Linked DNA regions of Caenorhabditis elegans. The protein of the gene in region 1 purifies or fractionates together with the protein of each later gene. This does not show direct contact. Each region holds a gene or a part of one and is shown on either strand. Other genes may lie near its edges.

Region 1 (7,808 bases):
CGTCACACTCGTCTTCTCAACTATATCAACAATATCGTGTGAAAGTCGAAGGAGATGTGACTCTAACCTGCCTCTAAGCCTGTGTCTCTGCTTCTCTTCTCTCTCTTTCTCTCGTTGATAATTACGTTGCTACGGGTTACTTTATTTACATGTTCGCTGTCAAGTCATATGATTGCATTTTTTGTTTTAGATAATATTATTATAATGCTTTAATAAATTCATCTCATTGTTTATTCATTAAATTTTTTTGAATTTCGTTAACTGACCGGTTGAAAGTCCGGAAATTAATTTATTATGATAATGAGTTTTTTTTTAAAGAAAACATGAGATAAATTGGTGATTTGCAAGAAAAAATCAATTCTTAATCAAAACCTTGCAAATTCTTCTCATTTTTGATTACTGGTAAAAACTAGAATTTCTCGTTTCCATCAGTTTATTCAATGATTCTAAAAAATTTACTGGAAAAACTGTATTCATGAGATAAAGTTGAGCGTTTTTTACAGAAAATGATCCAAAATCAAAAAAAGTCTATAAATTACAGTACCCCTTTAAAGGCGCACGCCACTTTTGTAAAACGTCTCCTGCAACGATTAATTGTTTTCGTAGAAAATGTGTGCGCCTTTAAGCAATTACGGTAGTTTTTCACAATTTTTGTATGTTTTTATTTTATTTTCTAATGAAAAAGTACCCATGTTTACCGATGAGGAGTGCGCGAATTTACTAAATAATAATTTATTAAATATAAATTCACTCAAATTTAAATTTTGATTTAAAAAAATTAAAATCTGAAGAAATTCCAGAATTTAGAAATTATTTTAAATAGTAAAATTCTATTTTTCGTTAAAAATAATCTTTTCTAGGCTATAATGCACTTTCCTTCTCTATCCTATCACCATCCTGTCTCTCATTTCTATACACTCTCTCACCCGGTTTCCCTTTTTCTCTCTGCGTCTCCGATTTCCCAACACTCTTGCTGGTTGGTGGCTGTATCACGCTTTGAAGCTTCGAATACTCTAATTTTCAGCATAAATTTCAAAATCAACATGAGAAACTTATCGATTTTTGTTTTGATCACAGTTTCAGCTTTAATTTTAACTATTTTCTCAATTTTTTCACCGACAAAAATAGTTTTGCATTAAAATTTAGTGTTTTTCATGATTCTCCCACCAATTTTCTAATTTTTTCACATTTTTAAAAAACATTCCAGTAGCTTTTCAAACTCGTGGACCCCCTTTGAAGAATTAAAGTTTATAGCTGGAAAGCTTGATTTTGGATCATTTTCGCGAGTAGAAAACATTCAAATCGCTATTTTATCGTTTATTTAAAGCATTTTAGGTGATTTTTGATTTATTCACTGGTGAAAACTTCCGGAAAACGAGAATTTGTAGTTTCTAATTTATAATTAAATGATAAAAATTGGTTTTTGCTTAAAATCCTGGAAAATTGATATAAATTTGCGACTTTAGCATTAAATAAAGAAAAAAACGAAAATCCTCTAAAACAGGATTTCAGTAGAAATCCTGCAATTTTTTCATAGGTATTTACAATTTTCTGCTATATTTATCGATTTTAGAACATTTCCGCTCATTCGTTTTGTATTTAACATTAAAAACGACAATTTGTCTACAACCTTGCCAAAAATTCAAAATCTTCTCCTCCGGGAGTATTTGAGCCACGTAAATCTACAGAATGTCGAATTAGAAGTATAAATTTCGGAATCCTGAACCTTTTTTTTGAAATATCGGCTTTAAATACTCGATTTCCTCTATTTTTAAATATAAAATTCCATTAATTTTCAGAATCCTCAAACCGAATGGAAGTTGAACATGAACAACCACCGGAACATGAAGCCGGTAGTGTAGATGCTTCAAATCGACCATCAACTTCTTCTGAAAATCCAAATCCAGAAGAACCGTGTCCACAACCACCTTCTGATCCAATAATCGATGATAATGATGATCATTGTCAGTTTTTGAAGTTTTTAATTGATAAAATCCATATTTTTCCAGTAATGTGTCGAGTATGTCGTGGAAATGAGGGAAGTCTCTATTATCCGTGCTTATGTACAGGAAGTATTAAATATGTACATCAAGAATGTCTAGTAGAGTGGCTCAAGTACAGGTAATGGTGATTTTCAATTAAAAATAGCTGAAAAAATGCCTAAATTTAGCCAAAATCTGAGATTTCACCAATTTACAGCGGCTGGAATTTGATTTTTATTCAATTTTCCAATTTTGTTTGCCAATCGGCAAGAAAACGGATAAAAACCACTCAAAAATAAGTAGAAATTTAAAATAATTAAATTCTGGTCGCTATGACACGAAAAAGGTGACAAAAGTTTTAGATTTTGGCAAGTTTTCGGGATTTTTCTTTCGAAATTGAAAAAAAAGCAACTTTCGGGTAGTTTCTTAGATTTTTAGAAGAAATTTGAAAATTTAAGATCTAAAAAATAATTTTAAAAAACCAAAAAAATTGCTTCTAAAATGTAAAATTGAAGATTTCAAGCCAACTAGTTTTTGTTAAATGTTTTTGGTTTTGAAATTCTGAAAAAGTCTGTTAATGAAATTCAGCCTTTTCTAGTCAGTTTGAATTTTTTAAAATAAATTTTGATAATTTTGCCTGAAAAATACGATATCTGGAATATTAACGGCCGATTCTCAAATTGTGTGCGCCTGTAAAGAGTGCTGTAGCTCCTGATTTCTTGTTTCTCTCTAAAAATCAAACAAAAATTTAAAAATGTTAATTTTTTCAGTAAAAAAGAAGTATGTGAACTGTGTAATCACAAATATTCATTCCAACCAATTTATCGACAAGATATGCCAAAAGCTCTTCCAATTCTTGAAATATTACGTGGAGTTTTGATATCAGGAGCAATAATGGTCAGAACATGGATTATATATACAATTGTAATGACTACATGGCTTGGAATTGTACCATTAACAGCCGCCCGTATCTATAATTGCATCTTCTATTTATCATTTCATGACATTGTCAATGCACCATTCCAATTGTTCAAAGCTGAACATTTTTTCAATGATATTCTGAAAGGAAGTCTACTACTTCTCGTTTTTGTGTGTACATTCATCTCGCTTGTCTGGCTCCGCGAGCAAATTATTATCGGTGGACCACAACACTTTTTGAATATTGAAGCGGAAGAGAATGAAGGAGAGGATGATGTTGTTAATGAGAATAATGAATCGTCGGATGAATCGGAAGATGATGAAGAAGATGAAGATGATGAGGAGGATGACGACGAGGATGATGAAGAAGAGGAAGAAGATAGTGAATCTGGATATGAAGAGGATCCTGTTCCAGAATTTCGTGAAGAAGGTGAAGCTTATGTGGCTCGGAGGAGAGTACCATTTGAAGAAAGAAGACGTGATATTCTTGAAGCTAGACATGGATTCCGGCCGCAGATGGTACTGTAGATATAGGAATTTTGCAAGACCGCGGCGCGGTTTTTTTTCCTGAAAATATATTGAAAAACGAAAAAACTTCATCTAGGTTGCCTGAAGACCGCTAACTTTGGCGAATTTGAATTGCCGCGCTTTTGCCTCGAAACTCCGCCCATTTTTCCGTGCCGCACTTTTGTTTCTACGAATTCTTCGTCTTTCCTGAAGTTTTCAAGTGAAAAATAAGTGTCTTGTCTACAGGGACATTATTAAATGCTTATTGCTAAATGTTTCACTTGAAAATTTCAGGAAACAAAAATTCTATTTCAGAATTTACCTGCCAGTAATTTCAATAATTAAATTTCGTGTTTCTTTTGTGCTTTCACGGATTTTCTGACTATTTTGGCTTTTTTATTATCAAATTGCTTTTTTTCCTAAAATATGTAAGCCACAAAAAGAGATTTTTTAGAAAAAAAAACATTAGAATAACCTTAAACTGAAAAAAGTTGATAGCTTTGTAAAATTAATTGTTTGGTAAACCGCGCCGCAACCTTGCAAAATTCACAGATTAATTCAAAAATTCACTAATTTTATTCATTATTTTAGCCAAATCTGGGTATATACGATGACATGAGAGATGATGAGAATGAAGTACTCGAAAATGATCATGTACTTCAAAATGTACAAGAAGATCGTATTCCACCACCAATGGAGCCGGAGCCAATAGTTCCACGAGCAGCTGCACGTGCAAATCGACGAATTCGTCGTCAACGAGAAAATGAAGAAGCAGCGGCGGCAGCAGCAGCAGCTCAAGAACAAGGTGGAGCTGGAGATCAAGAAGATAATTGGAGAGAATGGGATCGATTTGGTGATGAACTGACATGGCAGAGATTATTGGGACTTGATGGATCTTTGATTTTCTTGGAACATGTATTCTGGGTTATATCATTGAATACACTTTTTACTGCTACTTTTGGTAAATTTTAATTGGAGTAGCGAGTTTTAAGCGGAATTTTCCCTTTTTTTAACAGTTTTTTTATTTAAAATATCTATAAATTTAGAAAGCGGAGACTAAAAATGATTACCTAAGAAATAGTCAAAAAAAAAGTTTTTTTTGGATGGATTTTTGATATTTTTAATTTGTTTTTTGTTGAAAAAATAACTTTCAAAAAATTTACATTATTCCAAATAAACAAGAAACATTTTTATAAATTGCAATCTCAAAAAAATTTAAAATTTTGAATATTCTTATTTGATTATTGTTTTTATTCTGAAATTAACGGTGAAAAATTGTGAAAAACAAACAAATTAATTAATTAAAAATCAAGTTTTATTTATTTTACACGACTATTTTTGTTAAACGTGCGCCTTTAAAGAGTACTGTAGATAGAAAATTCTTATTTCTAGCGTTGAAAATTCCACAGTAGAAATTACAGTACTCTTTGAAGGCGCACATGTAACGAAAATTGTCTGGTCGATACCGTATACCGGTACCGTATTTTTTGCGTCTAGGTAATAATAATAATTGCAAGTTTTTCAAAAAAGCAAATTAAATACATTTAAAAAGATAATTTATCAATTTTTAAAGAAAAAATTGAAAAATCGAAAAAGGAAATTTTGGAAAAAATCTGAAATTTCCCCAGCTTCAGCAGCTTCAGCTTCAGGCAGCTTTTTTGATTCTTTTAGGATAATTTCTTAAATTTTCCTGCTCAAAAGTTCCAAATTTTCCGCTTAAAAATCGCTAAGAACCGAACAAAATTTATTCAAACTGAATAACTTTTCAGCGTACTTCCCATTTCGCATTGGAAACTGGTTCCTAAGTGTCATCGGACTTCATGGAAAAATTTCATATTTCCCATCAATCGTAGCGATGCTTCTTGGATACATTCAAATAGCCATCATAACCTACGTCATTCACCAAATAATGCTCCAATTCAAAATGAAAATGATGTATCGATTCCTTGGAATAATGTTCCTTATCATTAAAGTCTTCTTGCTGGTATTCTTGGAAATTGGATTTTTCCCTGTAATGTGTGGATGTTGGATGGATGTTTGTACACTTCCATTATTCAATATAACATTATCACAAAGAATTGCAACATTTGCCACAGCTCCATTCATGTCAATATTCCTTCATTGGATGGTTGGAATGGTTTATGTATTTTATTCAGCGTCATTTGTAATACTTCTACGAGAAATTCTGCGTCCTGGAGTACTATGGTTTATGAGAAATCTAAATGATCCCGACTTTAATCCAATTCAAGAAATGATTGATCTACCGTTCACGCGGCATTTCCGAAGACTTGTTGTATCTACAACTCTGTTCTTTTCAACGATTCTTCTCATCTTCTACATTCCTCTCAACATAATCTCATCACTTATTCCATCACTTCTACCCTACAATGTTTCAATGAGCGCAGAGACTCCACTATCAGAAATCTCATTGGAACTACTGATACTTCAAGTAGTGATGCCTGCAATCTTAGAACATGCAAATGGTCGTGGTTTTATCAAGTATGGAGTCAGATTTTGGTGTAAAGTAGTTGGAGCTGCGTTGGATTTGGATCAGTATTTGTTGTCGGATAACAATAACAATAATCAGAACAATAATAATAATAACAATGATCCATTGAGAGCAGGAAATAATCAAGCTGGTGGAGGTCTTGCAGCTGAGCATCAAGCTCTTCTCCTGCTCCGCGAGCCCCGAGCCTACGAGCCATACAATCGACCATCACTATTCGGAGTTCGTGTATCGATTCTTCTTGTTCTAATGTCTTTGACAACAACTCTATCAAGTGTTGTTGTATTCATTGTACCTGCTTCAATTGGACGTTTCATTATTCTAATGGTTTCGGGACAAACGAATGTTCATGAGATGTACACTGTTTCTCTGGGTCTCTATGTTTGTTGGACAATCGGGAAGTTTGGAGCAGTTGTGACGAAGTTTGTGAGAGGAGGACCACACTTGTTCAAGAGAGCTGTTGTTCATTATTCTTACTTGGTACGGTAAATTATTTAATGTCGATTTACGGAGTACCTCGTGTACTCCTCGTGGAGAAGGTGTTGATTGTTTTTTTTACCAAAAAAGCTTGATTTTGAACAGATGTAGCTAATTTTTCTTGAATTTGACAGTCGAATTAGAGATTGGAGGCAATACCGAATCCGCAATTTTTCCGCCAAAAACACGGTACCCGGTCTCGACGATTTTTGTAATTTCGTATGTGACAAAAATTATCGTTTTGAGACCGATTACCATATTTTTAGCCCAAAAATTTACTGTTCTAAATTTCAGAAAAAAAGTGGTTCAGACAAAAACTGTAAAATCTTCTCCTCGTGGAGTACACGAGCTGCGTGAATCGACACGGGCCCATTCAACACAAGGATGCCGGTTTTTGGAAAAAAATTTCAGAAAATTTCCAAATTTTCCATAATTTCTTAATTTACAAAAAAAACCCATCCATTCAAAATTTAAAATTGAAAATTAATAAAAAATTTTCAGGGAATGCGCCTGTTTCTTGTTGCAATTCCAATAATTATCGTCTTGCCACTTTTGATGGGTACTTATTTCCAATTGGTTTTCTTCACTCCAATGCGATTGGGATATCAACAGGTAACACTTTCAGACTGGATTTCTGAAAATTCTGAGAAAAAATTATTAAAAAATTAGCCTAAAATCATAAGTTTTCAAGTCTTTTTGTCTTTTTAAAATGATTTTTACGCCGAAAAAACGTTTAAAATTCATATTTTAATCAATTTCGGCATTATAATCGTTGAAAGCAACGAAAAACAAGACAAAAATACGAAAAAAAGGGGTGGAGAGTTTTCAATTTCAAAAGAAGCATTTTTCTGCGTTTCCATAATAATTTTTTTAAAGTTTCAATTTTCAAAGTTTATGATTTTTCGCTGCAAAAAGTATATAAATATATTCTGGCCACAAAAAAAGAGTAGAAAATCTTCAAATCATTTCAAAAAATCATTTCAGACAGCACTAATGTTCCCATATCAAGACTGGGCAATGGGCGTTGTTCAAATCAAAATCTTCGGTGTAATTGCTGTAATGGGACCCGATTGGTGGCTGAAAACAGAACTCGATCTACTTGTGCAACGTGGAATTGAGAATTTTGCGGCGTTACACGTTTTCGTGAGGATTGTCGTCCCATGTATACTGTATCTATCGACTTTTATCGCTTTTCCGGTTGTTGTGATCAAGTTTTACGCGTTTATTTCAGGTAAAATGGATTCTAGAAGGATTTCAGAATTAATTGGATCCTTTAAATTGAAAAAATCTCAAAAATGGCCATGTGTTGATTTACGCAGCTCGTGTACTCCCCGAGGAGACCCCAAAAAACCTGGATTTCAATCATTTTCACTTTTTTATTGGTTTTTATCAGCTGAAAACCTTATTTAAAAAATTAA
Region 2 (6,844 bases), on another chromosome or scaffold:
GCCAGTTTTTAACAAGTTGAAATTGGAAAATCGTGAAGTGGGAAACTAGCAGTGAAGCTTCCAAAAGTTTCAAGCCTTACTGAAAGGAACGTATTGGAAACTGAAAACGAAAGCTTAAGAAGATACCGTTTTTATATATTTGAGTTTTGAAAAGCCGTAATAGGTTTTAAATACAGTTTTCTCAATAATTCAAACTTGTAACGATTAAGTTGAGGCACAGAATAAGATGGTAATACTAAGTTATGTTGAAAAAAGCCAAGAAAGACTGAAAACATTGCTTTCAACCTGATTTTTTGTAAGTAATGTAATGTTGAAACATTATTCTTCATAGTTCAGCACTTTATATGGCTTATTTGAGCCCAAACGTACAGTAGTATGTGGCAAGAAATAAAATATTGTGCCAACAAAATTGGAGCCGAAAAACCCATGATAAAATGTTTTATACGTGTATTGCTCTAATAAAATACCAAATATTAATTAGATTCACTGTCTCGACTCTTTTTAATTCAGATTAATAACTTTTAGCTCCTCGTTTTAACGAAAAATTATAACTGAATTTCACAAAAAGAGTTCGATCTGAGTTCTTTCAACAGGTACATAGACGAATTATATCTTAAAATGACGACAAAATTTTGCTCTATAAACGTTATCATTGCAGGTTATGAGAAAAACTTAAATAAAAATTTAATTTTAAAAAATCCGAAAATTCAGTTGTTATTTTCAAACAGTTCGTTATGCATTTCCACCGAACGGTTTCCGATAATTTTTGTTTCTCCACTTTCGGTTCAGTCTACTCTATAATTGTTATCATTTTTGAAATAGAAAAATCGACGAAAAACTAATAAAAATCGAGGGAAATCACTCTTCAACGGTGAAATCTCGGTGGACGCAATGAAGCTGCAGCAAGCGCGCCCTATCGCAATTTCCACCCGAAGAGACCGTGGCAACTTGAAGCCTTTTTTCATGATTGATTTGAATAAAATGAATAATAAATGTTTGTTTCACAGGCCTCGTTTATAGAATTGCATTCTCCCATTTGCGCGCGAATATTTTTTTTTGACCCAACAGACGGGGGGCACTCCGTGCTGTCGTTTCTCCCTATAACGCTCTGTTGGCTGTAGAGACGCAGGCGTTGCAAGATAGTGTGTTCATGTTTTGAGTACGGAGAAAGCAAAGAAGGAAACAGCCGAACTCCTTTTTTTCGTCTTTTTTTCAAGAATTATTTTTAAAATTCAAATTTCTCCCGCTAAACCTTTCAGTAGTGGAGGCCCCACGAAAAGGGGATCTGCAAAAAGGGGATCTGCGAAAAGGGGAGATACGAAAAGGGGAGATACGAAAAAGGGGAGCAACGAAAAGGGGATCTGGCACTGTGCCAAACGCTATTTTTCTCGAAGAAAACAATACAAAGATGCTCCGATGTTACGCGTCGCGTGTTATTAAGCGTATCTTCTAGAAGAAAATTTTAAAAATCAACGTGCGTTGCGTGAGAAAAAATGCGTTTTGTGCGTTTGGCACAGTGCCAGCTCCCCTTTTCGTATCTCCCCTTTTCGTATCTCCCCTTTTCGTATCTCCCCTTTTCGTATCTCCCCTTTTCGTATTTCCCCTTTTCGTATCTCCCCTTTTCGCAGATCCCCTTTTTGCAGATCCCCTTTTCGTTCTGCTCCCCTTTTCGTGGGGCCTCCAGTAGTGTGCTTATTAAAAAACCATCAGATCACGAGAATGCCTACCGGGCCAGAACGGTGCAACGTTGCACATCACGGCTACTTTTTTTTTCATTATTTTCTTACTTCATAACGACAATTTTTTGTTTTGTTTTTCAGTTTACTAATGGCTGAAGATTTCTACAAAAGTCAAACATGCTATTCACTATATTCACTGTTACGCGTGGCAATGGACTATATTCCGTTAGAGGTAAGCATTTTTTCTTGAAGGCTTTTTGTCCTATTTTTGTGTGGTATCTGGTTAACGTAACAAGGCTTATTCTTCTGAAGTATGAGAGAATACTTACGTGCTTTCCTTACTGTACAAAAACACAAAAAAAAAAACTTTTTTTATATAAAGACTTATTTTCGAACTGTTGTAAAAAATTAAATATGCTTATCAACAGTTTTTGAACATTTCAGCTCCGTCGAAACCTGAATTTATCGAAACTCGAATCACTTGTCGATCCACGAAACCTTGCCGATGACACTGTTCTCGAAGCGATTCTCAAGTCCGATCGGCGATTTAGATGGTATGGAACAGCTGCAGAGTTTCGAAAATCACTCGCTTATTATATGATCTTTACATCCAGTCACAAAAAGTGTGCAGTTCCAATGTACGAGGTGTTCACCGTGAGAAATAATTAATCAGTTTGAGACAACATGTTGAAATATCACCAATTTCAGACAACTGCTCCGATAATGAAGAGCTTGAAAGGAGGACAGTTTCTCTATAAACATGATATTTTCTCGCATTTGCGCCACTGTCTCATCAGGACATGGTCACAGACAGTAATTATAAACTTTTAAAGCTTAAAATGTTAACATTTCATTTCAGAAAATTGATAGTTATTTCATTCAAAGCGCGTTGATCTGTATCAGAATAAGAGAGGACAAATTAGGCAATTGCTACGAGTTTGTAAAGAACTATGATACCATTTTGAAGCATATCAAGGAAGAGGTCCGAGTTGCAGTTATCAAAGCCGCTGTAAGTTAACTCCTGATCGAAGTTGTCACTGCTTTAGTAGAAAAAACATTTCATGTATACGGAAAACAATAAACTTAGACTTGAGTTACCAAATGAATATTCTCTACGAGTAAGACTAAGTTACGCTTGTTTTCATTAATTATTAACTAGAAGTTTTGTAGTATCACATGTATTATTTTGAGGGCAACAATAGAATATTGAATTTTTTATAAACTTTTTTCAGCAGCCCTTGACTCATGAAGAGTTTGACGCGCTTGACGAATCTACACCTAAACTCAGCCTGAATGTTCTCATTAGTATGTGGAAGAAGGAATTTTCTGATTGGAAGGATGAAGAATTCAAATATTTCATTGATTTTCTGAAAAGTCAGATTATTGAATTCTCGATGCAAACTAGACGAGAAAGATACTTGGAGATGGTTTTGTTCCATAAACGTTTCGTTAAAATAATTTCGAAAATAATGGACAATCATCCGGAATTATTCATGCCGTACAATCAAACGGTTAGTTAAAAATTTTTTTTTGCTTTCTGTAAGCGCTTTCTGTCGACTTGGAGTTGTTTGAAAGCTTAGCTAACATAATATCAATTATTTACAATAATTAGCTCAAGCAGAAATTGAACAGAAAATAGATAGTGAGATAAGTTCAAAAAAATGTTATGATCTCTGCAATCCTCTGTAAATTTGGAAAAAAATGACAAGCAGTTTTTGATTATATGACAACTCAAGTAGGTTATGTTTTAAACAAAAAATTTCAGAATCACCCTAACGTGCCTATTGCTGTAAGAGTTTTTACATACGAAGATCGTAAAATGGTGATGAGAAGTGAATTATTCAAAGCAATCAATATGAAATATCCAAATCGAAGGCCAATTGAGTATAAGGATGTGGATGGTTTCTTGTATGCAATGGAACTTAAAGATGTTTTCAAGAATTTTGGCGATTTGTGGCACGATATTGAGGTAACTTTTCGTTTTTTTGTTCAAATTTTAATGAATTCGAATTTTAGTTCTTGATCACTCCGATATGCAAAACGGATCAAAGAACTGTTCCAATTATTACTTCTACTGGTGATTTCTGCATTCCTGGATTTCGAGCATTTTCCGAAATATTCTATCTAATGTCTTTAATTATGAGAGTTTTTCAAAAAGTTAAAATAAACTCAATGCATGTATTGGATGACTACATCAAGATTCTCGTATCACAGTTGGAACCGTTCTTGGTAAATAGTTTGATAAAATAATAATTGAGAGTTAATTTCATTTTCAGAAAAGCCAGTGTTTTATCACAACCGATGCATTTCAAAAAATTGAACAGGAAATGTGCAACTATTGGAAGAAATTCGAAAATATTCCAGTAAAAGATATCAGAGATGTCAAGCGATTCACACTCAACGATTTGAAGAAAGAACTGAAATATTTGGGAATAACAGAAGCATTTCCAGATGTTTTGGTTTACGCGGATTTAGCATTCCCCAAACTTTTGGAAAGCGTCTCTCAAAATAAACTTGAAACTATTGATATGTTTGAAGCTGTGGCAGAATGTACATATTGCTGCCTCTTGGACAAATATCTCGAAGTAAGTTTACGATTAAGTTAGGCCTTATATTTTGAAGTCTTCTATTACGTTTTTACGGAAACTCCGGATAAAAAACCATTTTTCAGTTGGTACAAGTTTGGTTTCCTCAATTTGGATCACACAAAATGTTTTGTTCGATTTTACCTCCAGACCCAGTTGATATTTTCCTAGGAGTATCATCAAGCCACAAAGACTTGCGACGCTATATCAAAGGTTTGCAGTTTTTGAAGCACACATTTTTATATTCTATTTTTAGGAGAAGACAAGGAAAATATGAAAGTTAAAGATACTTCAAATCCGCAAGTGATGAAAAATCAAAGAGAAAACCCAAAAAGCATCTCGAAGCCGGAAGGAAACAATTCCGACACTCCAACAGAATCAGGAAATAGTTCATCTTCAAAAGTGGAAAGCAGTATGGCAAACTGTACGGACTGTAGTGGTGTCAGAAAGGAAATGAAAACAGTGCAGAATGTACTCAAAGATGTTCAGACCCAATTAACAACTATGAAGCACAAGTCTGAAAAGTTTGAAAAGAACATGACTGGATCTGTTGAAAGATCGAAGAAAGCTGAACAAAGGTTGCAGGAGGAAAAGTTGGACCACGTGAAGATTCAGGTTGAGGCAAAGAAGAAGCTCGAGTTGAAATTGGAAGAAGTTGAAACGTGGAAAAAGTAAGTTAATTCTAGTCTTGGATTAATATAGACATTATACCTTTCAGACAAGTGTCTGCGTTGTGGAACTGTAAATCTGACCATGAGGCATTAAACACTAAGCTTTCAAAGTGCGTTGAAAAGGGGAAAAAGCTGAAGGAGATTAATGAGAAGTGAGTTGTCTTGCACCTGTCACCATTGATTTTTCATGTTTAGAGTGTCGAATTCACGTGACCAATTGTCTACAAAAGTATTTGAGCTTAAACTTCAACTGAATCGGTGAGCTTATTTGCAGGTAAAAATAATATATAGGTTCATTTTCAGCGAACTTGAGACTGCGGAAACACTCAAAAATGAGAGAAAGGATTCCGCCAAATTGAGAAACGAAGTCAACCAATTGAAGGATCAACTTGAAAGGTTTTTAGAATTTTAAAGAATTTGAGAGATAATTATACTATTTTCAGAGAACGGGAGATAGCCTATGGACTGCAGGAAGAAGCTTCTAAACTGAGAGTTGGAACAGGCAAGGATGTGAAGAGACAGATCTTAGAGTCGGAAAATGCCCAGTGAGTGCCCGGTGCCTCTATTACTAGTTTACATGTAACTTTCAGACTTCGTCAAGAAAAACAGAGACGTGAAATGGAGAAGTCAAGGTGAAAATTATGAATATAGATTATTTTAACGCAAATATTTTCAGTCTCCTTGAAACAAAGATGATACTATCTCGTCAAAATGAAGAACAACATAAATTAATTCAAAGTCTTATGGATCAAAATCATACAGAAGAAGGGCCATCGAATCATGAAGATGAGAATGGAAGTTATAGAAAAGTACTTTGGAAACATCAGAAGATCAAGGATTTGTATAGAAAAGGAGAACAGCAGAGAGAAGCTGAAGAGATGGTCAATAAGTTCGTTGAATTAGTGGATATAACTTTCATCTTATGAAATGATTTTCAGATTGATTTCGTTGAATCAGCATCCAGAAGTACAACATATATCATTTCTGGAGCTCGAAAGTTTTAAGAAGCAGATCAGTGACTATCTACACACTGTCGAGAAGAACATTCAAAAGATCAAAAGGAATGATGACTTTACGAATCTTGAACCACTTCCAGAACCACCGAAGATGTCAGACAAGTTTATGAGATTGTACTGGAATGAAATGAATAAGCAGCCTTCCACTTCTGATTCCACTTCTTCAACTCAGATGACTAATAACATGTCAGCATAGACGGGTACTCATGTGAAAGTGAGTTTTAAACCTTCAATTTCATTATTTTTGGTTTAAAACTTTCAATCTACAGATAATTGGCTCAAGGAAAAGAAAAGATTCCCGACATGTTGCTCCTGAACAAATTGCTTTTGCATTTAAATTTTTTGAATACCAATGTTTTACCAATGAATAAATTTTCAAGTGTATATTGTATTCCTGGAAATTTTTTTTTGCCAAAAGTTAAATCCCTTTCGATTATTTTTTTTGACACTTTTTTGCTAAAAGTACTTTTTTAAAGTTTTTTTTCGAGATTCGGTTGTCTTTCTCCTTTTTGATCTATCAGTGTTTTTGACATTGAATTAAGTTAAAATTTGGTAGATCATTTGAGTTTTTAAAAAATTTCCTTTCTTGAACGATACATTGACTATTTAATGTTGCCGTTTTTCATCAACTTTTTGAAAAAGATGTTGTATAATTTAAAATTGTGACTTTTTGTATGTAGATCACAATGGACAATGATTTTCTGTCAAGAGAAACCAAGCACTCAAAACGTACACTTATGCTTGCCGCAATTGACTATATTCCCTAAGAGGTAATTATGGTTTTTTTTTTAATTTTTCAACTTTAATATTTTTCAGCTAGTGAAGTGCCTAGACTTGCCTGGTTTAGAGGATATAAGCGAAAATAATAATTATTCCAATGAGGAAATGTTGAA

What was found.
Region 2: the proteins of marc-6 (region 1) and C09E7.7 fractionate together in Caenorhabditis elegans (co-fractionation; one large-scale study listed by BioGRID). This does not show direct contact.

Annotation. Positions count from the first base shown.
Region 1 is NC_003279.8:10,797,824-10,805,631, forward strand, and holds the start of marc-6 (RING-type E3 ubiquitin transferase), read left to right. Parts: upstream 1-1,799; 5' UTR 1,800-1,813; coding exon 1,814-1,964; intron 1,965-2,009; coding exon 2,010-2,121; intron 2,122-2,752; coding exon 2,753-3,419; intron 3,420-3,998; coding exon 3,999-4,368; intron 4,369-5,176; coding exon 5,177-6,393; intron 6,394-6,891; coding exon 6,892-7,002; intron 7,003-7,374; coding exon 7,375-7,621; intron 7,622-7,808. Other genes in the region: F55A3.2 (C2H2-type domain-containing protein), read left to right, coding at 1-77.
Region 2 is NC_003281.10:6,546,213-6,553,056, reverse strand, and holds C09E7.7 (DUF7809 domain-containing protein), read left to right. Parts: upstream 1-1,813; 5' UTR 1,814-1,827; coding exon 1,828-1,911; intron 1,912-2,123; coding exon 2,124-2,333; intron 2,334-2,387; coding exon 2,388-2,492; intron 2,493-2,538; coding exon 2,539-2,688; intron 2,689-2,911; coding exon 2,912-3,190; intron 3,191-3,444; coding exon 3,445-3,648; intron 3,649-3,695; coding exon 3,696-3,908; intron 3,909-3,955; coding exon 3,956-4,264; intron 4,265-4,350; coding exon 4,351-4,477; intron 4,478-4,520; coding exon 4,521-4,935; intron 4,936-4,982; coding exon 4,983-5,087; intron 5,088-5,130; coding exon 5,131-5,193; intron 5,194-5,238; coding exon 5,239-5,331; intron 5,332-5,378; coding exon 5,379-5,480; intron 5,481-5,525; coding exon 5,526-5,567; intron 5,568-5,611; coding exon 5,612-5,824; intron 5,825-5,873; coding exon 5,874-6,147; 3' UTR 6,148-6,335; downstream 6,336-6,844.